4 linked regions of the Rattus norvegicus genome follow. The protein of the gene in region 2 interacts with the protein of the main gene of each other region in a pairwise test. Links are inferred from orthologs where the notes say so. Each region holds a gene or a part of one and is shown on either strand. Other genes may lie near its edges.

The links.
Region 1: the proteins of Trim69 (region 2) and Sf3a3 interact in binary tests that used the Homo sapiens proteins (3 or more experiments, as listed by UniProt). The two-hybrid records come from large-scale screens. The link is inferred for Rattus norvegicus from reciprocal best matches to the Homo sapiens genes TRIM69 and SF3A3.
Region 3: the proteins of Trim69 (region 2) and Iyd interact in binary tests that used the Homo sapiens proteins (3 or more experiments, as listed by UniProt). The two-hybrid records come from large-scale screens. The link is inferred for Rattus norvegicus from reciprocal best matches to the Homo sapiens genes TRIM69 and IYD.
Region 4: the proteins of Trim69 (region 2) and Asns interact in binary tests that used the Homo sapiens proteins (3 or more experiments, as listed by UniProt). The two-hybrid records come from large-scale screens. The link is inferred for Rattus norvegicus from reciprocal best matches to the Homo sapiens genes TRIM69 and ASNS.

The regions. Positions count from the first base shown.
Region 1 is NC_086023.1:142,268,139-142,274,088, forward strand, and holds the end of Sf3a3 (splicing factor 3A subunit 3), read left to right. Parts: intron 1-2,820; coding exon 2,821-2,876; intron 2,877-3,642; coding exon 3,643-3,720; 3' UTR 3,721-3,899; downstream 3,900-5,950. UniProt on the Homo sapiens protein: Component of the 17S U2 SnRNP complex of the spliceosome, a large ribonucleoprotein complex that removes introns from transcribed pre-mRNAs.
Region 2 is NC_086021.1:129,577,190-129,583,508, forward strand, and holds part of Trim69 (E3 ubiquitin-protein ligase TRIM69), read left to right. Parts: intron 1-2,304; coding exon 2,305-2,538; intron 2,539-3,746; coding exon 3,747-3,769; intron 3,770-3,853; coding exon 3,854-3,978; intron 3,979-6,319.
Region 3 is NC_086019.1:42,411,870-42,418,188, forward strand, and holds part of Iyd (iodotyrosine deiodinase 1), read left to right. Parts: intron 1-4,181; coding exon 4,182-4,373; intron 4,374-5,811; coding exon 5,812-5,971; intron 5,972-6,319. UniProt on the Homo sapiens protein: Catalyzes the dehalogenation of halotyrosines such as 3-bromo-L-tyrosine, 3-chloro-L-tyrosine, 3-iodo-L-tyrosine and 3,5-diiodo-L-tyrosine.
Region 4 is NC_086022.1:36,754,365-36,760,683, forward strand, and holds part of Asns (asparagine synthetase [glutamine-hydrolyzing]), read right to left. Parts: intron 5,277-6,319; coding exon 5,091-5,276; intron 4,858-5,090; coding exon 4,756-4,857; intron 4,302-4,755; coding exon 4,174-4,301; intron 3,105-4,173; coding exon 2,978-3,104; intron 638-2,977; coding exon 531-637; intron 1-530.

The sequences.
Region 1 (5,950 bases), on a different chromosome or scaffold from region 2:
CCTCATCCTTCTCGCTGTTGTTTCACTTCATGCCAGCCAGACGGTTTGTTTTATTTATTGATGGATTTTATTTTGTTTTGCTTTGCTTTGCTTTAGACAGGGTGTCACAGTGTAGCTTCACTGTCCTGGAACTCTCTCTGTAGACAAGGCTGGCCTCAAATTCAGAGATCTCTTCAAATCCACCCTTTGCCTCCTGAGTGCTGTTATTGTATGCGGATGCATGCATGTGTATGTGCCACCACCACCTGGCTCTCTGTTTTATTATTATTATTTGATTTTAAAAAATATATAGTATGTGTGGTGCACTACTTATGTGAGTTTCTGTGCCTCATGTATATACAGGATCCTATGGAGCAGAAGAGCGCATCAGATCCCCTGGTACTAGAGTTACGGGCACTTAGGAACCATCATGTGGGTGCTCGGGGACCCTGGGTCCTCTGGAAGAACAGCCAGTGCTTTTTTTTTTTTTTTTTTTTTTAATTATTATATATAAGTACACTGTAGCTGTCTTCAGACACACCAGAAGAGGGCATCAGATCCCATTACAGATGGTTGTGAGCCACCATGTGGTTGTGGTTGCTGGGAATTGAACTCAGGACCTCTGGAAGAGCAGTCAGTGCTTTTTTTTTTTTTTTTTTTTTTTTTTTTTTTTTTTTTTTTTTCTTTCTTTTTTTCGGAGCTGGGGACCGAACCCAGGGCCTTGTGGTTGCTAGGCAAGCGCTCTACCACTGAGCTAAATCCCCAACCCCCGCAGTCAGTGCTCTTAACCACTGAGCCGTCTCTCCAGCCTTTTCTCCACCTTTTTTTTTTCCCCCCAGAGCTGGGGACCGAACCCAGGGCCTTGTGCTTGCTAGGCAAGCGCTCTACCACTGAGCTAAATCTCCAACCCCGGGCAGAGACATTTCTGCCTCACACTTGGCCTCTATGCAGGCACTAGAATGAAATCTAGGCTCTGGTCTCCATGCCTAAGTGGTAGGGCTCTGCCTTCCGACCCACCCCTGGAACCCTGTTTGGGGGATAGGATCTGACTTTGTAGCCCAGACTGCCCTGAAACTCACTTTGAACTGGTCATGATCCTCCTGCCTCAAACTCCTATGTATAGGTCTGAGCCACCACACCTGGCCTGATTAACTTCCTGATTTATTTTTGCCTTTTTGCTTTGTTGATAGGAAATTAAGTCAAGGTAATAGCATGAATTGTAAATCTACATTTTTTTTTTTTTTAAAGATTTATTCATTTATTATATATAAGTACACCATAGCTGTCTTCAAATACACCAGAAGAGGGCATCGGATCTCTTTACAGATGGTTGTGAGCCACCATGTGGTTGCTGGGAATTGAACTCATGACCTCTGGAAGAGCAGTCGGGTGCTCTTAACTGCTGAGCCATCTCTCCAGCCCGTAAATCTACATTTCAAATGCTTAAAAACGTTTTTTCTGAGCCAGGTGGTGATGATGGAATGCACCTTTAATTCTAGCACACAGCAGGTAGAGGCAGGCAGATCTGAGTTCCAGGCCTGCCTGGTCTACAGAGTGAATTCCAGGACAGCCAAGGCTACACAGAGAAGCCCTCCCTGTCTTGAAAAACATTTTTTCTTACATTTCTTTACTGTGTGCAACTGTTTGTATGTGCTCACATGTGTGCATGGTCATGCATGTGTGGATCCCCTTCCGTCATGTGTTGTGGGAATCAAACTCAGGTCATCATGGGCGATTATGAGTATTCAGAGATGCACACATGTATGCATAGCCCATACATGCATGCATGCATGCACGCACGCACGCACGCACACGAAAGCAACATGGCAGCATTTGTTGGCTGTGTTTTAAGGCAGTGTGGGTACTAGTGTGGCTTATAGTTTAGTTTGCTTCCTTACTAGGATAAACATGACCAAAAACAACCCGGGAAGGAGAGGGTTTGTCTGGCTTACACTTTGAGGTCACAGTGTGTCACTGAGGGAAGTCAGGGTAGGAACTCAGGGCAGAAATCAGGGCAGCTGACGTGGAGGAACACCCATCAGAGGCTTGCTCGCCACAGTTTGCTCAGCCTGCTTTCTTACAACTTGCAAGACATCTTGCCCGGGAGTGGCAGCACCCCCAGTGAGTGGAGGCACCCCATGTCAATCACTAATCGAGACAATGCAGTACAGACAATATGATGGGGGCATATTGAAGTTCCTTCTTCCCAGATACAACTAACCAGGACAAAGCTGAGCTTAAGTCACACTCCAGTACTCCCCAATCTCAGGTGGCAGAGGCAGGATCTCTGAGTTCCAAGCCAACCCGAGCACAAGAACAGCCAGGACTGTATAGAGAGACCGTCTTAAAAAACAAAATAAAGCCCTAACCAGGACATGTATTAAGAAGCCTTCTCAGCTATGATCCTTTTTATTTTATCCCACAGTTTCGCTAGACTCTTGTACAAACTGCTTCTTTTGAGAGAGCTTTCTTTTTACCGTTTGTTTGGTTTTTGAGCCAGGGTTGCTCATTTAGCACAAACTGCCTTCAATCTCAGTATGTAGCCAAGGCTAGCCTTAAACTGCCAGATCCTTCTTCCTCTATCTCCCAAGTGCTGAGGTTATAGGAGTGAACCTCCATGCTGATTTCTGGTCTCTGTCCTAAGACAGTTTTTCTTTCACAGCAACGTGAGACTGTGGTAATTTCTCAATCAGAGGGGCTTTATCTACAGGTTGTTCTAAATCAAAATTCTGTTTGGGGGGCTGACAGTCGGGAGCCTGTGGGGAGCGGGGCGGTGAGAATGATGTAACACTGTACCCAGGGGACTGAGGGCCTAATGGCTGCTTACCTCTCATCCTGCAGTGTGGGCCAAGCTGAAACTGCAGAAGGCTTCAGAACGATGGCAGCCTGACACCGAGGTGGGTGTTAATGTGGATCGTGTTAGGTGTGGCGTCAAGTGACGGCTCCCTCACTACGCAGACAGGAGAGGCTAGAGAGTTTTCTGTTTTAGCAAGTGTAATGACAGTGTCTACACGTGTGTGAGCCTGTCGGCATGTATGCTTTAAGTCTTTGTCATCAGGCACTTCTCCCACTGAGGCAGTTGTGAATAAGGGCACCCCGTCTCTTGTGCTACCCTGGGGATTTCTAAAGAAGTCTGTCACCTCTTAGGTCTCTGAGGAAAGCATCAAGTCAGAGATGGTCCTCTCTTCAGAGTGGGAATCTGTCCTTGTTGGTCTTGACAGGTCTCAGAGATGGCTACCATACATTGAAGGGGTGGCAGTAACGTCCTGGTCCTGTGCAGACCGACAGTAGTCTCTTATTCTATGTCAGTATTGCAGTTTTGTTTTCTTGCATCAAGAGCCCTTCCAGCTGTAATGTAGACCTGAAACACAAGACTGGCCTCGCTGTCAACTCCTGCAGTGGCCCAAGGGCAGAAACCCAGGCTTGGGCACCATTTCACACTGCTGTTTTGGTTTCCTTGTCAGGCTTTCCCTGTCAGGCTTCCTTGTCTCAAACACAAGGCATTTCTTGAAAGACTATGAAGGGATAAGGGTGAGCCACGACTGGTGCCACTCTAGATATCTAGAAACAGCTTTGGATTCCTCTTGGAGCTCTGGTTGAGAAAGTTATGTTAAATTAATGCTGGTTTCTGGCAGTGTGTAGCTAACGGCCTTTCCTTTTCAGGAAGAATATGAAGACTCCAGTGGAAATGTTGTGAACAAGAAGACATACGAGGATCTGAAAAGACAAGGACTGCTCTAGTGGTTGGCCATGCCTGGGCTTCCGTGAGAAGCCTGAGAAAATTTTTCCCAACCAAATGTTCTTAAAGACTTTTTGCTATGTAGTATCTACCTTGTAGGAAGAAGACATGCTGACAGATTGCAGAATTGAGATGTGTTTTATCTTTGTTTTATATTAAAAAGATTTGTGGGAAAATAAAACAGCCCTTGTTCTAGACGTGTTGTTTCTGAAATCCAGGTCTATAAAGTAACATAATCCTTTTGTTCTTAATGCCTCCTGGTCTGGTTCTCACCAGCTTCCATATTGGCTTAGACTTAGGGGTAGTTATTACTACCTATATATAATTCTGTCTGTGTGTCTCAATGATAGCCCAGGCTGGCCTTGAACTCCCACCAGCCCTGCTTCAGCCTCCCTGTGCTGAGATTACAGATCTGGACCGCCTCACCAGGCATGTGTCAAGTAATTGAGACCTAACGTTTCTCCCTTCACTGCCACTTCCCAAATGAGCCTCATGCCGGCATGAACTCTGCCCTCAGTAGAGTCAGCCATCAGTGTGAATATCAGAGAAAACAGGAGGGTGAACCAGACCTGAGGCTTAGAGTGGTTTCAAGGTTTGCCTGTTTTATTTGCCTAAAGAAATTAGCTGTAGTTGGCCTTGGTCCCAGCACCTGGGGAGAGGCAGGCATCTGAGTCCAAAGCCACTCAGGGTGCTGTTGTGAGACTCTGCCTTAGAAAATAAATTAACTGCAGCCAGGTATAATAGCAGAGGCCTGTATTCCAGGCTTCGGGGCAACTCAGGCAAGAGGATGGCTGCAAATGAGCTGCTCTGTGTTCTGAATCTGTTATTCTAGATTTCAGAACTACAAAGTCCTGTCCTACCTATGAGGACAGTCACTGAAGGTTGAGTAAAATTTCCCAGAGCCCTCTTAGCATGGTGACCCTAAGCTGGTTTGTCTTCAGACAAACCCCAACTCTGGATGGCCATCTTCCTCCATATACCTGTTGTCCTTGTCGCGCCCCTGGCAGCCAGGGTCTCGACACCCCTACTCTGAATTACATTACTCTAGTCAACCCATTCTTTGTATGACCTTATGCTTTGGCTCTGCCAGTCCGTGATGAGCAACCTCCCCTAGGCTCATGCAGCAAGGAGCCCATGGTCACATCTAATTGAATCAATTAGAAACCGATGGCTGGAAACTAGACCAAGGTGAAAGGAGAAGTTGCCTTCTCCTGTAGGAGAAGCCTTGCAAAGCAAAGCGGTGGAATGGAGAATGGGGGAAGCCCTGGGGCTACAATAGTAGCCACAACGGGGGGGCTGGAGAGATGGTTGAGTGGTTAAGAGCACTGACTGCTCTTTCAGAGGACCTGAGTAACCACTCAGTTACTCCCAGTAACCACATGGTGGCTCACAACCATCTGTAATGGGATCCGATGCTATCTTCTGGTGTGTCTGAAGAGAGCAACTGTATTCACATAAATAAATAAATCTTAAACATTTCAAATGCACAGTGGAATTTTATTTAGTTGTAAAAGAATAAAATGACATTCAAAGGCCAACGAGGTAGATGTGCTGGATGTGGTGGTGCACACCTTGATCCCAGCATGTGGGAGGCAGAGGCAGGCAGAGCTCTGTGAGACAGAGAAACCCTCTCCTGTAAAACAAAAATTAAAAAAAAAAAAAAAAAAAAAAAGGGGGCTGAGGTGGCTCAGTGGTCAAGGCACTGACTGCTCTTCCAGAGGTCCTGAGTTCAATTCCCAGCAACAACATGGTGACTCACAATCATCTGTAATGGGATCTGATGCCCTCTTTTGGTGTGTCTGAAGACAGCTACAGGGCACTTACATATAATAAATAAATAAATCTTTTTTAAAAATGAAGTCTAGGGGTTGGGGAGTTAGCTCAGTGGTAGAGCACTTGCCTAGCAAATGCAAGGTCCTGGGTTCGGTCCCCAGCTCCAAAAAAAGAAACAAGAAAAATGAAAAAAATGAAGTCTATATGAATGAAATGATCATAAGCAAGTCTTTGCTAACCAAAATTATATATATATATATATATATATATATATATATACACTTCATCCTAGCACTTTGTCAATCCCAAGTGTGACTCCATCTATGCAGTAAACAGAGGGTCCTTAGTGCACGCTGTATCCCATCAGCCTGGAAGATGTCCCCAATAGACAGATCTGAGTGTGGGACAGAGGACCAGAAACCTTCATGGTCCTGGGAGTGGTTGGGAGCAGGCTCGGCT
Region 2 (6,319 bases):
AAAAAAAAAAAAGCACTAATAGTAAAAATTAGGTAAACCAGTCTCTAGGCTGGGAGCTAAATTGGAAGTTCTGGTCCTTCATTAATTACTCTAAGTATCTGGAAAAATATATATCCTCAGGAAAAGAAAGACAGATGGAGTTCCTCATGCATCCAGATAATTTTGTTCAATTTCCTAGTTCACCTGCTATAGTCAATATTTGCACATTCAACACATACTTATTGAATGGGTCACTAAGATTCATTCCCACCCTAGAATCCAAGCGTGGGAGACAGGTATTAAATGATGCCACCAACACTAATAAAATAACAACAGCGACTAGTACCATAGGAACAGCTACTAGTACCATAGGAAAACTCAGCAATGAAGAGAAATCCAAGAGGAGAACCTGAAAAAGTCCCTTGAGCTACAGATGTACTCAGTCGGCAGAGTACTTGCCTAGCATGCATGAGGCCCTGAGCTTTAGAGCTGGTATCACATAAACTGGGCATGATGGCACACACCTATAATTCCAGCACTCAGAAGGTAAAAGGAGGATCAGAAGTTCAAGGCATCTTTGACTACATTTCTAATTTTAGGCTAGCCTGGGACACATAAGATTCACTGTAAAAAAAAATTTTTTTTTTGAGGACTGTAGGATGAATATGAGAGAGGGGTCCTGGAGAAGAGTGTTGAAGGGAGAGGGAAAAGTCTGGAAACAGGATGTTAGAACAAGTCCAATAAAGCCAGAGCACACCAGGCAAGGTAACACTAGGAGGCAGAAACGACCCAGTCATGCAGATCCTTGTATGGAAAAAATGAAGTGCTTTTAACTTGGTCCCGTGACGTGAAAAATAAAGATTTGTAAGCACTCCACAGTTTCATTTCGTTTTGAAAGTATCTGATGGCCGTGTGGAAAATGGCTTAGAGAGACAACAGCAGGACCATATGGTTCGAAAACTTGCAGGGCAGCATGCCAAGCGCAAAGGTACTTGATACTATACAGAGATAAACAAGAACATGTGGTGTAGGGAGGAAATTCTATAGACGCGATGACTGATTGAATATGAGGAGTGAACAGTGATATCAGGCAGCATTTGGGTTTAGAAGTCTGGAGTTCAAAAGCTGGAGAAAGCTGGAGGATCAAAAGCTGCAGCTGGATGGATATTGCCTGGGAAGTGTGCAGTGAGCCTAGGATAGAACACCAACTGATTTTTAACATTTAAAGCTTGTTAGACTGGGAAATCATGAGAAAGGGAAACTGGAAGTACGTGGGTTGAGAGAACGATGGAGGTAAGGCTACCTTAAGGGTGCAGTAATGGTTGTCCATGGAATCTAAGCCATGTAAGACAAGCCGTGAAGACAGACACTTATGGATAAAACAGAGAGAGTCGATGTTGATGAATTGATTAGTTTCTTGAAACAGGGTCTGTCTCTCCAGGTAGCTCTGGCAGCCCTGGAACTTACTTTGTAGACCAGGCTAGCCACAGACTCATACAGATCATGCCTGCCTGATTCTCTGAGTGCTGGGATTAGAGCCAGGCACCACCATGCCCAGGATGAACACAAATGTTCACTGAGATCCAACAGTGCTGCAGCAGGGAGCAAGTGAACTTGGAACACAAAGTCATTTCGGAAATGATACATTTTCTGGGAATGATGAAATTCCATATGTTGTTGAAAATGAGTGGTAAAAGCTATAAGTCATTGGAAACATAGAAAATGAGGAGCCAAGAAACCAGGATATAGATTGTTCACCAGGAAAGAAGCTGTGTGCGTGCACGCATGAACACACACACACACACACACACACACACACACACACACACATACACACACACACACACTGCAAGTGCAGCAACTTTCAATTTTAGTGCTTTGTACATTGTTCATCATGTACTCATGTACTGTTTCTTTTTTTTTTTTTATGTACTGTTTCTTTTATGTGGTCTTGGCAAAAGGAGTAGTTTTGATTTTTAAAGGATAGGTCTCCCTGGTCTAAGAGCATTCTTCAGTAGATACTGATTTGCCAGTCTAGGAAAGTACTGTTAGTATTCATTTTAGGATGTTTGATGGACTCCACAACATTATTTATTAGAGCACAGGTTATCATCCAAGCACTGAAAACAAAACCAACCGTCCTACACCATTAAACTAGTTGGGAAAGAAGGAACAAGCCCCCCAAAGAGCTTTATTTGGTAGAACTGAATGTTGATGGTAAGCAGCCATTTGTGTGGAATTGCCCAAGGTATGTGGTGTGGTGTAAGCCCATCCCCAAATGCTAGTCTCAGTAGTAATCGTGGTGATGATTATGGAGGTTTCCAGGACAACAAGATACAACTGCAACAAAACCTTTCCTTGGAGTTTCTAAAGCTGCATCAGTTTCTGCACAACAAAGAAAAGGACATTCTCAATGATCTCCGGGATGAGGGGAAAGTCTTGAATGAGGAGATGGATGCGAATCTGAACCAGATTCAGGAGCAGTGTCTCCTTGCCAAAGACATGCTGGCGAACATTCAGGCACGGATGGAACAGCAGAACTCCTTCGACTTCCTCACAGTGAGATTCTGAACACAATTGATTATGGGTATACTTGGAAGGAGGAAAGAGAAACTGGGAATGGGGGGTGGGTAGTGATGGAAGGAAAGCAAATCTTAACCAAGCTCAACCCACTCCAACCATATCCTGCCCTATCCAACCCAACCCAACCCAACCCAACCCAACCCAATACAACCCAACCCAACCCAACCCAACCCAACCCAACCCAATACAACCCAACCCAACCCAATACAACCCAACCCAACCCAACCCAACCCAACCCAACCCAACCCAACCCAATACAACCCAACCCAACCCAATACAACCCAATACAACCCAACCCAACCCAACCCAATACAACCCAACCCAACCCAACCCAACCCAACCCAACCCAACCCAACCCAATACAACCCAACCCAACCCAACCCAACCCAATACAACCCAACCCAACCCAACCCAATACAACCCAACCCAACCCAACCCAACCCAATACAACCCAACCCAACCCAACCCAACCCAATCCAATACAACCCAACCCAACCCAACCCAACCCAACTAACTGGAGTGCTTTTTAGGTTCCGTGGGAGATAAGTAGCGGCTTTTACTTTGTTCAGTGGAAGCTTTACTTTCATCTTCCTATGAAACACAATAGTACAGTTTTGCTACATGAATCAGTGTTTTCTTACTTTCCCATAAAGAACATAGAAGATTTATTTTTCAAAAATAAGTCTCTTATAGTATTTGTTGAGTTTTGGTCTTGCTGAAATTATAAACTGAGCTATCGAAAAAGCTTTTTGTCAAACTTTGCTGCCTGAAGTCTGACTTTTATAGCAGCATTGGTGATCACATCAGCACTCAGAAGTTTGGTTACCCTTGGCCCTGGGATCGCTCCTGATCTTTTCTTGTTGGAGTATTTGGAAGCACTCACTTTTTAATAAGTTGACCTTAACTGTGGGCTTCCTAGCTCTTCTCTTGTTTCCTATGAGAGTTGGAAGTATAGAAAATCAGAAGGTTAGCAAATGAGAGGTCAGTTTATCAAGGGTTAGACTGGGATGCTAATTAGCAAAGCCTGTAGAGAATGAAAACTGTTGTTGGTGATGGACTGGGGACCCTCTCTAAAGGAAGCCAATATTGATGATCAAACCTGGATGGTTACCAGTATAACCAGAGAGATTTCTAGAGATGATGAGCAGGCATCTGACTTCTCTGTTTCTTCTTTTCTCTTTTAGGACATCACAAAGCTCCTAGAGAAGTAAGTGTTTCTCCATGGTACTCTATCCCCTCCTTCCACCACTGGAGGATGTCTCAAAATAAACTATTTGTGTGTTCCTTACAGCATGGAGAAAGGAATGAAGACACTTGTACCCAGACAGCTTATCTCCAAAAAGCTGAGCCTAGGTCGCTTCAAAGGTCCTATCCAGTATACCATCTGGAGGGAAATGCAGTCCATTCTCTCTCCAGGTACAGTGGGGATGAGCTATTGATTCCTATGGCCCATAATCTATATTTCATCTGTGACCAGGGTTTTTTAGTTTGAGACAGGAAGGAGACAGAGTTGGGTAGAGTTTGGTCACAAAATTTTTTTCTTTTTCTCCTGCTGCTATGATTTAAGAATATGTGTCTTTGAACTAATAACATATAAAAGTCTGATATTAGAATTACTCCTCAGCCTATGATTTTGTTTGATCTATAAGGTGTGGAAGTAGTCACAATTTTATCCTGTTTTGCTACATCAGCTATATGAATTCTTGCAAATATCAAAGGTCTGAACAGGACAAAATAACACAAGTGGTATTATTTCAAGAAAAAGAAATAATAGTCTAGATAAGATGTGTATAAAATAAGAATTTAGATAGCTTTTACAAAATTTGTATAGATAATATTATTGTTTGTTATTAACCTAGTTAAAATCGTAAATATATCCCTGTTACATTTTTCAGGTGACTAACACTGAAAGAAACTGAAGTATAATCAATAGGGCAGAATCTGCCTATTTTACCTAAATATTCCCAGTGTACATGCTGAGTTTTGACAAACATGGAAATATCTCTGTGATCAGGATATAGATGGGGGTTGGAGAGTTGGCTTAGCACTGAGCAAACACAAGGACCCGAGTTTGAATCCTTAGTGCCTATGTAAAAAGCCAGGCATGGTGGCATACGACTGTAGCTCCAGCACTAGGGATGAGGTTGTAGGAAAACATAGCTCTGACAAGACCTGCAGGCTGGACAGTCTTGCGTGAATTCCAGATTCAGCAAGAAACCTGTTCAAAAACTAAGATACAGAATGATGAGGAAGATACTTAAAGTAGACCTCTGACCTCCACATGCACATGTATGGGCATACCTGTACACACACACACACGCCCACACACACACACTTCAAAGTTTCCACAAGTCTCTTTACAGTTAGTTCTTTCTGTGTAGCTCCAGTCCCTCCTGCTGGCTAATCTGCTTTATTTCACTTTTGATACATCTTTGCAAATGTTTGATTTAATGTAGATCACACATTACTGTATTGTGCGTCTCGACTCCTGTACAAAGCACGGTGCTTCCTTTGATTCACCTTTGTTGCACGTAGCAATAATTTGTTTAATGAATATATCATAATGTGTTTATCTATTCTCCAGGCTGATGAGCTTTTAGATCACACTTCAGGGATATTATAAATAGGGTTGTGTGGATCTGTGGGGTTGAAGATATGCCATTTAATTTTATAAGAAACTATCGATGCTTTTTCTTCCTCAAGTGGTTGAAAGCCTCTCCACGTGCTTCTTGGCCATTCCTAAGATATATTTAATCTTTTGACCATACTTTTGTTGATTGCTTTAACATTAAATTATAAGTGGACAATCCTTTATTAGCCATGCTTGTTAAAAAGGATTTAAAGAAACAAAACAAGACAGGACAAAACAGTGTGCCTGTGTATAAGTTGGTTTCCCTAAGTGCGGCTTTCAACAGAGGCCAGAAAAAGGTACTCGTTCCCCTGGTTCTGGAGATATGGGCAGTTGTAAGTTGTCTGATATGGGTGCTAGAAACAGAGCAAGAAGAAGTACTACGTGCTCTTAAGCTCTGAGCCATCTTTCCAGCCACAAGTTACTTTTTGGACGGTTTCTTTTGTTTGTTTGTCTGTTTGTTTGTTTTGGATATAGAATCTCATGTAGCCCAGGCTGGCCAAGAGTGCTTACGTAGCCAGAAGTGATCTTGAGCCCCTAATCCTGTTGTTTATACCTTCAAAGTGTTAGGATTATAGGCATTTACCTGACTTAAAACATTAAACAGCAGCCACAGCAACAGCAACAGCAAAATCAGGATCTCATTATATTGCTCAGGCCGGCCTTGAACTTAGGATCTTTCTGCTTCAACCTACTGAGTACCAGAATTACAGGTGTGTACTACTGCTCCAACTGAATTTTAATTGACACATTTTTGTATATATTTATAGGATACAATATGATATCCAATGCACGTATGCAACATATAAAAATTAAACCATAGTAAACAGAATTTATATCTCCTCAAACATTTATCACTTTTTGAGCTCTTTTAGTTGTATAAAAATATATAATAAAACCTATGGGGCTGGAGAGATGGCTCAGCAGTTAAGAGCACTGACTGTTCTTCCAGAGGTCCTGAGTTCAATTCCCAGCAACCACATGATGGCTCACAACCATCTGTAATGGGGATCTGATGTCCTCTTCTGGTGGCTCTGAAGACAACTACAGTGGACTCATATAAAATAAATAAATTAAAAAGAATCTGTGGCTGTAGCTCAGTAATAGAGTGCTGGCTTAACATGTATA
Region 3 (6,319 bases), on a different chromosome or scaffold from region 2:
GCCTGCCAAATGCCACAGCTTAGTCAGCCATCCTTACGCATGTGCAGAAGCTTACCACAGCCTACAAGGCAGCCTAAATAACATGGAGACTGCCTTCCAATTGAATATTGAGTCTCATGCTGTTTGTCGATTGCTCCACTGAAAATAAAACGCAGGATGCTCATATGGTTGTGTTCTTGTGACTGAAAAGCTCAAAACTTCCCAGACTATGTAAATACGGCACTGTCTGGTCCCACTTGGGAAGTGCTTCCTTTACCACAGAGAAGCACTTTCCTTAACATTGATGATGTCTGTTCTAAGATTTGATGTGGAACGATGCGTTGGTGGGAGGGTAGTGGATACTTGAGTCACAGTGAAGAAGAGCGCTGAGCTTTAGATATCAGGGAAGATGGAAGGAGTGGTTGAGTCACTGTCACCAATGAACAAGGGTGGGAAGATCCAGTTTAGAAAACACTATGAGGATGTGCTGCATTTAAGGTATTCACAATGTTAGATGAGAGACTCTGGCATCAGCTTGAGGTGGCACTCAGAAGTTAGAGAACTAATGACGTCACCAAGTGGGTACTGTGAGACAGAAGACTGAGGGTAGAACTTAGGAAAGACCTAAAGATAAGAGGGACACAGTAGAGAGATGTACTACAAAAAGAAGATGACATGGTTGAAGAGCCTTGGGACCACAACACACTCACATAGCATGCAGTGGACCCAGCTGGTGCCATGTCATATACAGAGTAGGCCCCTTCATCTTCATGGTAATACAATGAGGTAGGCATTATCATTACCTCCATTGCAGAAGACCCAGGCCGTGGTAGGGTACTGCACACCTAGGCAGGTAGGACTCTGGCAGTCTGTTTCCAGGGTCCAAGCATAGGGCTGTTTTCTGGGTAGCCTCTCCTACAGAAAAGTCTAGAACAAAGGAGGAAGGAAAGAGAAGTTCAGAGATAGATTTTCTCTCTTCCAAAGCCACATTCCTGGGAGCAGTCAGGAGTTCAAGAGCAGGGAGAAGTGGCGCTGCTTGTTTTTAGAGGTCCTTGCTAGCCCCCCACTGCTGTCTCTGCAGTCTTCCTTATCTCAGGAAATGGTCCACTCACTACCCAGGTGCCAAAACCAGAAACAGAGAGGACCCTTTTCCTTCTCTGCCAGGAAGCAAGTCTCCTGGGTTTTGTCACCATGATGCTTTGGGAATCTGTTGCTCTTTCTGCTTCCCTGATGGGTCAAGTCAACATCATCCTGGTATAAGATAGGGCACAGTTCATGTGTGGCCTTTCTTTAGCATTCTTGTCTCTGTCTAAGACATCCCTCCACAAGCATGTTAGAGTCCTCTGCTTATTTCCCATGGATAGTTTTCTTTGGCAATAAACCTTAATCCACATAGAAGCACATTCTATGGGCTCATTCACCCTGGCTTTTGGACTACTCCACATTCTGTGAAAGGCCTCTCATCCCTTGTCCAGTAAGACCCAGCTATGGTTCCTTTCAGCTGCTAAGACTGGCCTGAAACACATCTTTTCCACTGTCGTTTTTTCCCAACAGACTATTAAAAACATGTATTATAAGATTCAGTAGTTTTATTCATTGAAAACATTATTAGATACCAAGCAACCTTCACTTTCTTTCTACTAATTTTGTGATTTTGTGTGTATGTGTTTGCATGTATATGCCATGTCATGCATGTATGTAAGTCAGAGGAGAAATTGAGGACTCGGCACTCTCCTCCCACCATATGAGTTCCTGGGACTGAACTCAGCTTGTCAGTCTTGGTGGCAATCATTTTTACTAATTGAGCCATCCTGCCATTTATCTGCTTCAGACCCTGACTGCCCATGTTCCTTCACAGTCTCAGACCCCCCACTCCCTCCCCTGTTTTCCTTATCTGGATCATTCCTCCAAATCTCTATAACTTCATAAAAAGCCCAATCTACTTCATCGGGATGATTACAGTTTACTATTCTATCCTTAAACACACTTGCTGGTTTGTTTACATATATAAACGGTAAAGGTATAGAACTCATGCTCATTTTATTCATAAATTCTCAATAAGATATTATTGAGCAAATTGCCCATTTTAATATCCAGGAAGGATATGGGAGTGTTAATAAATGTAACTTGTTTTATACATTCATGATATTTCATGTTTTGCACCTATGTAATTAAGACATTGGAAAAAATTTCCCCAGTCAACACACATACAAAATGATCCCTCTTTCCTCAGCCCAGAATATCATCACCACCATCCATGGTAAAAACCACAGCTACAGGGATCTCCTGAGCACATGCCTGCAGGAGAAAATTGTTCATCCATTCACTGTCTCTAAGATAGCCATTGTCAGGGAGTTGACTTGCTTTTCCACACTTTGCTTCTTATAGCTGATGTATATGTAGCATATGTGTAACTCACGTGTCAGCCAAGCTTGCCCTATTGGAAAACAAACCAATGAAACAACAGAACCCACTACCAAACAATCAAACAACATCCAACCAATAAACACAAAACAACAGCAAAGGTTTAAAAGCAGTCTGAATCTTAGGTATTGTGGTATGAGCTGGCAAAGCAGGGACAAATGAATTCCTGAAGCTCACTGAAGCCACCCTAGTCTACATAGTGTCCATGCCAGTAAAGAAAACCTATCTCCAAAAAAGAAGAAGGACATCCAAGGTTGTTCTCTGTCTCTCTCTCTCTCTCTCTCTGTCTCTCTCTCTCTCTGTCTCTCTCTCTCTGTCTCTCTCTCTCTCTGTCTCTCTCTCTCTCTGTCTCTCTCTCTCTCTCTCTCTCTCTCTCTCTCTCTCTCTCTCTCTCTCACACACACACACACACACACACAGCACTTTACATGCTTTCAGGAGACTGATGCCACTTAATGATTTTTGAGAACTTTGAGGGAACTAAGTTCATGGAACTATGCACTCTGAAGTTCAGGCCCATGAGCTCCTGCTTTCTTCTGTGTTCTGACTTATCCATGCAGAACAGCCACATTTAATCTTCCATGTTATCTCCAGGTCCCCACCATTTATACAGCAGGCTAGCACTCAGGGTATGCCTCTTTCCCTTCTAAAGACCTTTTCAGCTACACTTTGTCGTCCTGCTTTCTCTGCAAACTCCATTTCCTTCACACCCTCATCCCCACCATATGGAAGCCATTGTAACTCTAAAACTTATTTCTTTCTTTGCTTTTTTCCATGGTCCTAAGTAAACTGGCTCTGGTTTTTCTTTATCTTTCATCTTTGTGGTCTGTCTTTTGCTCTTTGCTAATCTAGATTTTTATTTTTTCTTACCAGTAATTTAATCTAAATAATTCTAGTTAGAGTATAATAATCTCTAGAGAGTTTTATATCTCTTTTTCTTCTCTAAGCATAGTGTTACAGTTGTTTGCTCTTCTGTGAATTCTTGGAGCACTGGCACACCTAATTTTATTGCTAAGCATTGATCTTATTAATTTAACTCAAGATATTCTATTCTCTTGGATACAGGATTACATTGGTGAGTTCTTGGAAATTGTTTCTAAAATTCTTTACATATTGTCATTTTCTTCTGCTAGACAACTTGGGTGCTTCCAAGAAGAAACACTGAGTTAGAAGAGGAACCAAGAATATCCTAAGTCCCTGAACGATGACATCTTTACAATGCACACTTTCCCAAAGGATGTAACTTGATGGTCTGGGCTGATTCAACTTCCTATTGTGTGTGAGGGTTGCCTTTGATAGCTCAAGCATTAAAATGGGGACTGGGCCTGTAGGAACAGGCAGATGTAAGCAGGACACACGAGCCTCTGTGATCACCTCTCTAGGTTCAGATTTTCCCTTTGTTTTTAGCTTTGGAATTTCTTACTTTGTTGTTAGCCCAATGCTTTGACAAAGTCAAAAGCACCTTATTTGGTGACCTGAATGGGGGATTGTGTCAAATAATTTATTCTACCATTTAATAGAACTTCCACTTGTTCATTTTGTAATATCTTTTGTTTTAATTTGTAACAGATCTAGAGTCTGAAGAATGACCATGGTAGTGGTCAAAATTTTACAGATCTACTCTTTAAGTTTTTTTTTTTTGCTTTAATAAATTTGATTGATTGGTTTGACCTTGCATCACCATATAAACTTTTCTGAAACTTTGCTTCTCTGACCCCAAGTGACCTTATAACCAGGGAGATAACTGAGTTTGCTATGCTCCTGGCTCTTGTTTGCAGATACTGAGGAATGGCAAGAGTCGGAGGAGAGTGTGGAACACATCCTATTCTCCCACACCCGATACCCAGAGCAGGAAATGAGGATGAGATCCCAGGAATTCTATGAGCTCCTCAGTAAGAGACGCTCCATCAGATTTATCAGCAGCGAGCCAGTCCCGATGGAAGTGATTGACAATGTCATCAAAGCAGCAGGTTGGTAACTGCATGCTGAGCCTTTCAGAATGTCAGATGCTGTGAAAGATACAGTGTTGAGACAGCACTGAGTCCAAATATGTATACAAAGCTAGAGGGGTGTGTTTATCTATGAAGGCATTGTAGTTTGGGTTTTACTGCTGTGAACAGACACCATGACCATGGCAACTCAACTCTTATAGAGAATAACATTTAGTTGAGGCTGGCTTACAGTTTCAGAGGTTCAGTCCACTATTACCAAGATGGGAGTATGGCAGTGTGGAGACAGGCATGGCACTGGAGGAGCTGAGAGTTCTACACCTTGTTCCAAAGGCAAACAGAAGACTGTCCTCAGGCAGTTAGGAGGAGGGTCTCAAAGCCCCACCCCACAGTGACACGCTTCCTCCAACAAGTTCACACCTCCTAATAGTGCCACTTCCTGGACCAAGCATTGTACAAACCACCACAAAGGCTTTCTCGTTGCTACTGACTTCCAGAAACATGCATTTCTACTTCCTATGTTTTGGTTCTTTATTTCTTGGAAAACAGATATGATGATCATTTAAAATAATACAGTATTTTTTGAATTTTGTTTAAAGCTAAAAATTCTGAATATGTTAGTATACATTGCAGGAGAAACAACTCTCTCTTACTCAAAGCATGTTTCTTCTTCCACATTCAGGTCAGATTTATATGTTTGTCACAAACTCCAAGACACTCCAGTACAATAATTAGCTGAACAAGCCCAATAGCAAGGTTTCCTTCTGTGGATTTGTAAAGTACACTAAAGCAAGATAAATACATTTTAAATGTAAACTAATATCTCCACCCAGGGGAAACTAAGAACAAGGATGCCACACTCTCTAGGTTTTTTTTTTTTCTGTTTTCTTACTCTGCCTCATTTATGTTCATGTGTGGAGCTTGTTGCATACCCACTGAAAGCCATCTTTAATTCAAAAGACACCAAGAATACTTTGTTTCAGTCAAGAATACAAATGCCTTGGATAGTTGTACCCTTTGCCTAAATGGCAAGTCAATAATCCCCACCCTATATACACCTGTGAGTTTGAGTTAAATGTTAAATTATTCCTCCCCCTCCCCTTTACCTCCTCACCCTTCCCCTCCTTCCCCTCCCCCTCAATTTCCCCTCCTCCCCCTCCCCTCTCCTCCCCCTCCCCTTCCCTTTCCTCTCCCCTTCCCCTCCCACTTCTTCTTCCCCTCTCCCCTCTCCTTCCCTGCTCCTCCTGCTCCTCTTTCACCTCTTTCTGTCTGCCCTCCTTCCTCCTTATAGCATTTTGACACAAAGTCTAACTTACAATCCTCCTGCCTCAGCCTCCCAACTGCTGAATGGGCTTATAGACATACATCAGCATAATACCTGCTATTGTATTTCCTCTTAGAATGAACAGTTTTGCATTCCTCTGCAGTCTCACACTTATTTTAATTTAATGGGTAACAGGAACAGCTCCAAGTGGAGCCCATACAGAGCCCTGGACGTTTGTGGTGGTAAAGGACCCAGACATGAAGCATAAGATCCGAGAGATTATCGAGGAGGAGGAAGAAATCAATTACATGAAAAGGATGGGAAAGCGATGGGTCACAGATCTGAAGAAACTGAGGTACAGAGCTGAAGGGCTTAGGGGTGCTTGGTGTGCCTGTTACTGTAAGAAACTGCCACTGCAGGTCCAGGGTTTGTGGGGTTTCATCTTATTTTGATGATCCATTAAGTGTTCATATTAATATGGCTCCATACAGTATTTCAGTACATGCATACAGAATCAGGTTTCCCCTTGTTTCTCTATTGTTTTGTTTCTTCATTTTATTTTAACCCCAGGCAAAGGTTCTGACCCAAATAATTGTTTCTTTTAATTATGTTGTATAATCTTTTGAGTATTAATTTTATTATAAAGTATTATTTAATTTATTATAAATTATTGTTTGATATATTATAAATCATTGTTCAATTT
Region 4 (6,319 bases), on a different chromosome or scaffold from region 2:
GAGGAGCATGAGGAGTGTGAGTAAATAACTTCAGAGGCCAGCAGTGTTTGGAGGCCCATCCACCCTCCCGAGTGCTTAGTGTGGAAACAAATGAAATGGATGCCCTGGGCAACAGACAGGGTGCCTTTAATCCCAGCTCTTGGGGAGCAGAGGCCAGTCTGGTCTACATAGTGAGTTTCTGGACAGCCAAAGCTACATAATGAGACCCTATCTTGGAAAAAAAATCAATCAACATAGACAGACAGACAGACAGACAGACAAAAATCAATTTTCATGTTTAATTTTAAGAATGAAAAGTATCTGATACTATAAAGCCTTCTTTCTCGTAAAAATAGATAAATAAATGAAAAAAATAAATATATACATACATACATACATACACACACAGAAAACAGATATCATCAATTCTTACCCACAAACACACATGCCCTCTAAAAATGTTACAAATTATAAGGACAGAACAGAAAGAGGCCAGTGATTCTGACGTTTCTTCACTTAGCCTGGCCGTCTTTTCACTTCAGAGTACTGACCTTGTGGAAATATATATAGCCCTGTGTAAGCTCATCTGACCCCTCTCCGGAGAAGATCACCACGCTGTCTGTGTTCTTCCGAATATACTTGGAAATTAAATACATACCTTAAAGGAAACAGAAATTAATGTTGATGTCAGTGTTGTGTTTTGGAGAGCCTCAGAAACAACTGCAGGTTGGAGTGTCTTGTTGGGCTGAGTTAATAGAGGTATTAATGCAGCTTCCAAAAGGATCACACACTCACAAGCCGTCTCCATGCAGTCAATCCAACTTAAGCAATAAAATAGCCTTGCATCCACTGTATTATTTTATAAACAGGCTCCAAAATTATGTTCTTAGAACAAGACTTTTTATATTAATTTTTTGCTAGATCGAACCGCTTAAATACCCGAATACCATGGCTTGTATACTGTCACTAGTACAGAAAAGTAAGGCATGGGCTGTGCAATGCTTTGGATGCAGTTTGGTCTCCCAAGGACTCATGTGTTGGTGGTGTGATCCACGGTGGTGAAGTGGAGGTAAGGTCTGGTTGGGGTTACTTGGGTCCTCAAGCATCTTGCCTTAGAAGGCATTAAGACAATTCCCAGGATAAATCAAATTATTTCTCCCTATTCAACTGTCTAAAACAGAACCGCTCTCTATTCTTTGGCCCCTGGTATCACTATGAGATCTCTTCCTCATATGCAGCTCCTTGATGCCACCCACCAAAGTCCCATGCTGTTTGACTTTTGGCATTCAAAATTCTAAGTTTAAAAAATCCTTATTTTCTGCAGTTTCTCTTCTGGGGTTATCCATTATAATAACAGAAAACTGACTAACAGAAGTAGCTTACTTTTAATTGTTTCATTCTTTTCCATTTCCGCTCCTCATTTCCAAATCCCACATTTGATTAAGAAGGCTATGTACAGTATCATACTGTCTATTTGGTACCCGTTTCACATCTCTCTCCACTACCATATGTCTCCTCCAAGCTCACTTTTATCCGTCTTAGGAGAGACTTTCTTCTTCCCAACTCTGCTTCCACCTCATAAAAATTCAACCACATACGTCCTATATGTGTGTGTATTTAATGATGAAGCTTCCGAGGGACAAATCACTGTAATACTCAAGGGATTTTATTGCACTGCAAAGTGAATGTTTAAAAAGACCCACTCAGCTAAGTAACAGTTTAGAGGTTCGACAACGTTGGGCTCTCTGATTTGTGGTACATTTCTAATCTTAGATGTGTTCACCAGATAAGTGTTGCTTGCATGACAGTAACAGCTGGCAACTAGTAAGCCCTGTGACAGAGTGGTGTGTTTAATACATCTACATGAGAACTCCTTAAGGAAAATGTACTGCAGTACAGACCCATTTCCCCATTTAATAAAGAACAGTGTTCCCTCAGTATTCATTTGGGATTGGTTCCTGGTCCTCCCGTCATCTACCCACATCTTCTGATGCCCCAACACCTTATAAAAAGGTGGAGTTTTGCACACAATCTACACACGTATACAGGCCTATCTTGTTTTACTGTGCTTGGCTTTACTGTGCCTCAGAGGAAATTCACTTCTTACAAATTAAAGGTCTGGCAATTCTGCTCTAAGCAAATACACCGTATCATTTTCCATAGCTTAGACGATCAATAGCAGTAAGTAGAGGTACCTAGAAGACCACAGCACACTGTAGCCATAGCTTTTATATGCACTAGGAGGCAAAGTCACACTGCACTGAGAGACTTGCGTTACTGCAGAGACCGGAATCTGTAACACCTATGAGATGTTCTTGTACTTTAAATCACTTCTAGATCACATACAATTTCTGATACAGTGTAAATGCTATGTAAGCAGCTGACACCCTATTATTATTACAATAACGACAGCAATAAAGTCTGCCCAGGTCCAGTCATACACATTATAGCTCTCAAGTGTTTTCAAGCTTTGGTTGGTGAAACTCAGGGATAATGTTTTGTGGCCCAACTATACCATCCAAGATATTTTACACAGAGAAAATGGGAGGAAAAAAAAAGGAGTCAAAATATGTATCCATTCTATGGTCATGCCATATATGCCAAATGTCGTGTAATTCTCCTGCCTCAGCCTCCTGGATGATGGAATACTGGCTATGATGGGTTAGTTTTAAGGTAACAAATAATTCATATAAAGTAGGGAGACAGAACCTAGCATGAAGCATGTGTTTTGCAAATGTGAACTGTTAATATTTTTATAAAGCATTTATTAAGACTATAGCCCAAGCTGACCTTGTAAATTCAGTGTTCAGATGATCTGACTATATTCATTAAGCACTTCCTCCAGTCAAAAAGAAATTCAGGGCACTCTTAAATGGTCTTAACAATATAATAGTATTATTAACAATATAGGAACTTGTTTATATTCATATTTAGACAATCTCTCTTGAGCTGAAATCATCTTAAACCTTCTACTTTTCATGCCAATAAAACCCCTTACCTACAGATGCTCGAACTGTCGTAATATCATAAGTTTCCAAGGAAAATATGACTTCGTCCAGGGACTGAATGCCTTCTTCAGAGTTAAAAAGGACTTCATGATGCTCACTTCCAATATAATTTGCCACCTGAATGTAAAGAGAAATCCCTATCTTTGTTAAAGAGCTACTTTAGAAAGTGAAACAAGCCAGATCCTCTCAAGGTAAACATGGTGAAAAGAAACAAAGCAGAAGACCACTCCAGGTCTCTCCAGACCATAGCAGCAAGAGGCCATGCAGGTCCCTTTGACAGGAGGTGGTGCAGGCCCCTTAAGTAAGGAGGTGCAGGTCCCTTTGACAGGAGGCAGTCTGCCTGGCCCTCACTCATGACTCAACCACAGGAGGTAAATCTCCTACTGGTTCTTTCCAACTCAAAGCTACAGACTGACAGTCCAGGACCCCAATCAGCACAGGACTCTCTCCTATATTACCTAACCTGCCTCATCTCTCCCTAGTCCAGTATGGTTCCCTTTTGAACGTCATCTCTCTTTTGCTGTACTGAAATGACTAATTTTATACCCAGCATGGTATTCTAATAGCCTTTTCCCGTCTTCCAGCATATATCTATTTGCATTGGGATTCTCTTCTAGGCCTTTCTCATCACTGTAGGTCTTTTCAGAGCAAGACCCGGTCTTCGGCACATAGAATTATGTGTACAAAGTCTGTTCTGCCTACAATTCATAATGCAATGCTTCAGAAGAAAACAAGATTTGAGCTGTTATCCTGGTACTAATTTCTATCCTAGACTGTTCTCTATGGCCGTCATAAAGACCATGACCAAAATAGACTTGGGAAGGAAAGAGTTTGTTTGGTTTACCTATTTTGAGTCACAGTCTGCTGAGGAAAGAGAACACAGGAAACAAAGAGAGAACTGAAGGGCCTGGAGCCAGGAGGCAAAAACCAATAAATAAGTGATGTCCCTCCATGCTCTCTGTTTCAGTTCCTGCCTACAGGTTTCTGCCTTGAGTTCTTACCTCAGATTCCTTCAGTAGAAGTATGACTGGGGATATGTATGCCACATAAATCCTTTCCTCACCCTGTTGCTTCCAGTCATGGCCTTTATTACGGTAACAACAGGCACACTAGGACAGCTTCACTTGATGTTCGTCCCAACACCAGGACTAAGTTCTGAATATGCAATGGGCGGGCTGCACTGTACCTTTCTGGCAGCCAGTAGATCAGGGCTGTCTTCCATGCCGATAGCAAATGTCTGGAGAGCATAGGGCACTTGGGCCTCCTTGAGTTGCTTCAGCAGGGAGGCAGCAACCAAGCTGGAGTCCAGGCCTCCTACAGCGTAAGAACAAAGTCAATGGCTACAGGCATACGGCAAGCAGGGCAAAGACAATCACACACCTGTTAAACATCTGGATTGGCATTTGACCACTAACATCTCTGAATTTTGTAAACTGAAATCAACTTTAATATGATAGACACATAGTGAAATGAAGTGTGTGTGTGTGGGTGTGTGTGTGCTCACATACATATGAGTGTATGTTAATACATTTTATTGGCCCCTTACAATAGTAATTGTATCTAAAGTTTAAAAGATCAATACACAGGACTCTAAGGAATGAGTACCAACCAGCTCTAACCTTAACAAATGCAGCTTGTAAACACGTCTATAGAAAAACAATGATGAAATTATATAGTAGGCCTTTAACTAAATTCAAAGCTCAGAGCCAGCTACAAACCATTGCCTTTAAACACCGGCAAGATGTATGTTTTTCTAAACTCTCGTCACCTGATAAAAGGCAGCCAATCCTCCGGTCAGTCATCAAGCGTTTCTTGATAGCGTTGTTAAAAAGGATACGCAGATTGTTTTTCACGGTCTCTATCTCAAAGCCTAGCAACACAGAGAGTAAACGGAGCCGTCACAGATAAGCTGAGGCTAAGCCAACTGAGAGGAGGCAAGCAATGTCCTACCCCACCATGATATGATGGCCCTCCCTCGCTCAAGGAGCTCCCGCCACCTCCAAATCAACACCTTTAAACCGAGATCACTGAAAATGGTGTGAATGGCCCCATGCAGTCAGGGAGTGCCTGCAGTTCTGGAGTTTGGTCATAGGCACCAGTCACCTGGGAAGAGTTTCTCCACACTGTCATAGATGGCATGCAGTGGTTCATCCGTACAGTGATGGTATTTGACCATTTCCACAGACGCGACTTTGCCATTTGGTTTTAAATCCAAAACTTCATAGTGTCCAGGAAGAAAGGGCTCCACTTTTAGGAAGGGGGTGGTGGAGTGTTTCAAGGAGACAAGGCCTAGAAAACGGGAAACAGCAACGTATGCAATGAGGTGCTTCTCTGCAGCCCTCACAGTGAGCCAATCTCTAATCCATACCTGCCCCTTTAAGGAGCAATAAATGTCCACCATACAAAAATAGTGGGAGAGGAAATAATTGCCCCACACCCTACCATCTCTCTCCCGAAGAAGCAAGAATGACACGGAGACAGAATACCAAACCGCATAGGTTTGCAGTCATTTGATGCAATAGGAAAATGGTTCTTTTCAAGATAATTCCCGAACACAGCAAGATAAAAGATTCCAAACTTCACCTTCTATCCCATGTATGTCCAGTTGTTACAATAACATTCTCTGAGACGATCCTCTCCCACCTGAATGGCCCTGCTACCTTTATTAAAATTAAAGTCTTCATCATGTCCTTCCTTTCCCTAGCTGAAATTTCTGATCACGGAAACCTATTTTTTAGATATCTATTAAATTGTCAAAGGATAAAAATTTTTAAAAGAATGTCTATTTTCTGTCGTAAAGCAAACAAGATGAGAGGAGATAAATGTGAGAAAGAAGAGAAATCAAAATGTTAACTTCGTGATAACTTGCCAAGTATTCCGGTCATTACCGTGGCATTTTAAGAGAGACCAATGGTTCTCAAGCCTTTACCAAGCAAATTGATCAGCTAGCAGGTACTCAGAAGCCACTACCCCTCCCTTAATAGATGTCATATAATGTGTATGAGACATATAATGTAACTTTAGGCAGTTCTTATAGACAGTAGCTACCCTGACACCACCATGATCTGACACAAAAGCCAATGTTGTGTGGTAAAGTTAGACAGCCTGTCTACACAGGTATTTATTATAATGTACCGTGAGTCTCATAGCCCAGTCTGTGTACATTGAATTGAAAGGCCAAAGGAATCCAATGTTCTCAGTAGCTGGCAGAGCTCATATGCTGCTCTCCTCTGTAGAGGACGAGATGCAGCCAACTGAAACGTCTTAGGCAGATGCCACGATGAGATGTTTGTAAAGACTGATAACAGGATGTAGCACTCCAATGGGATCAT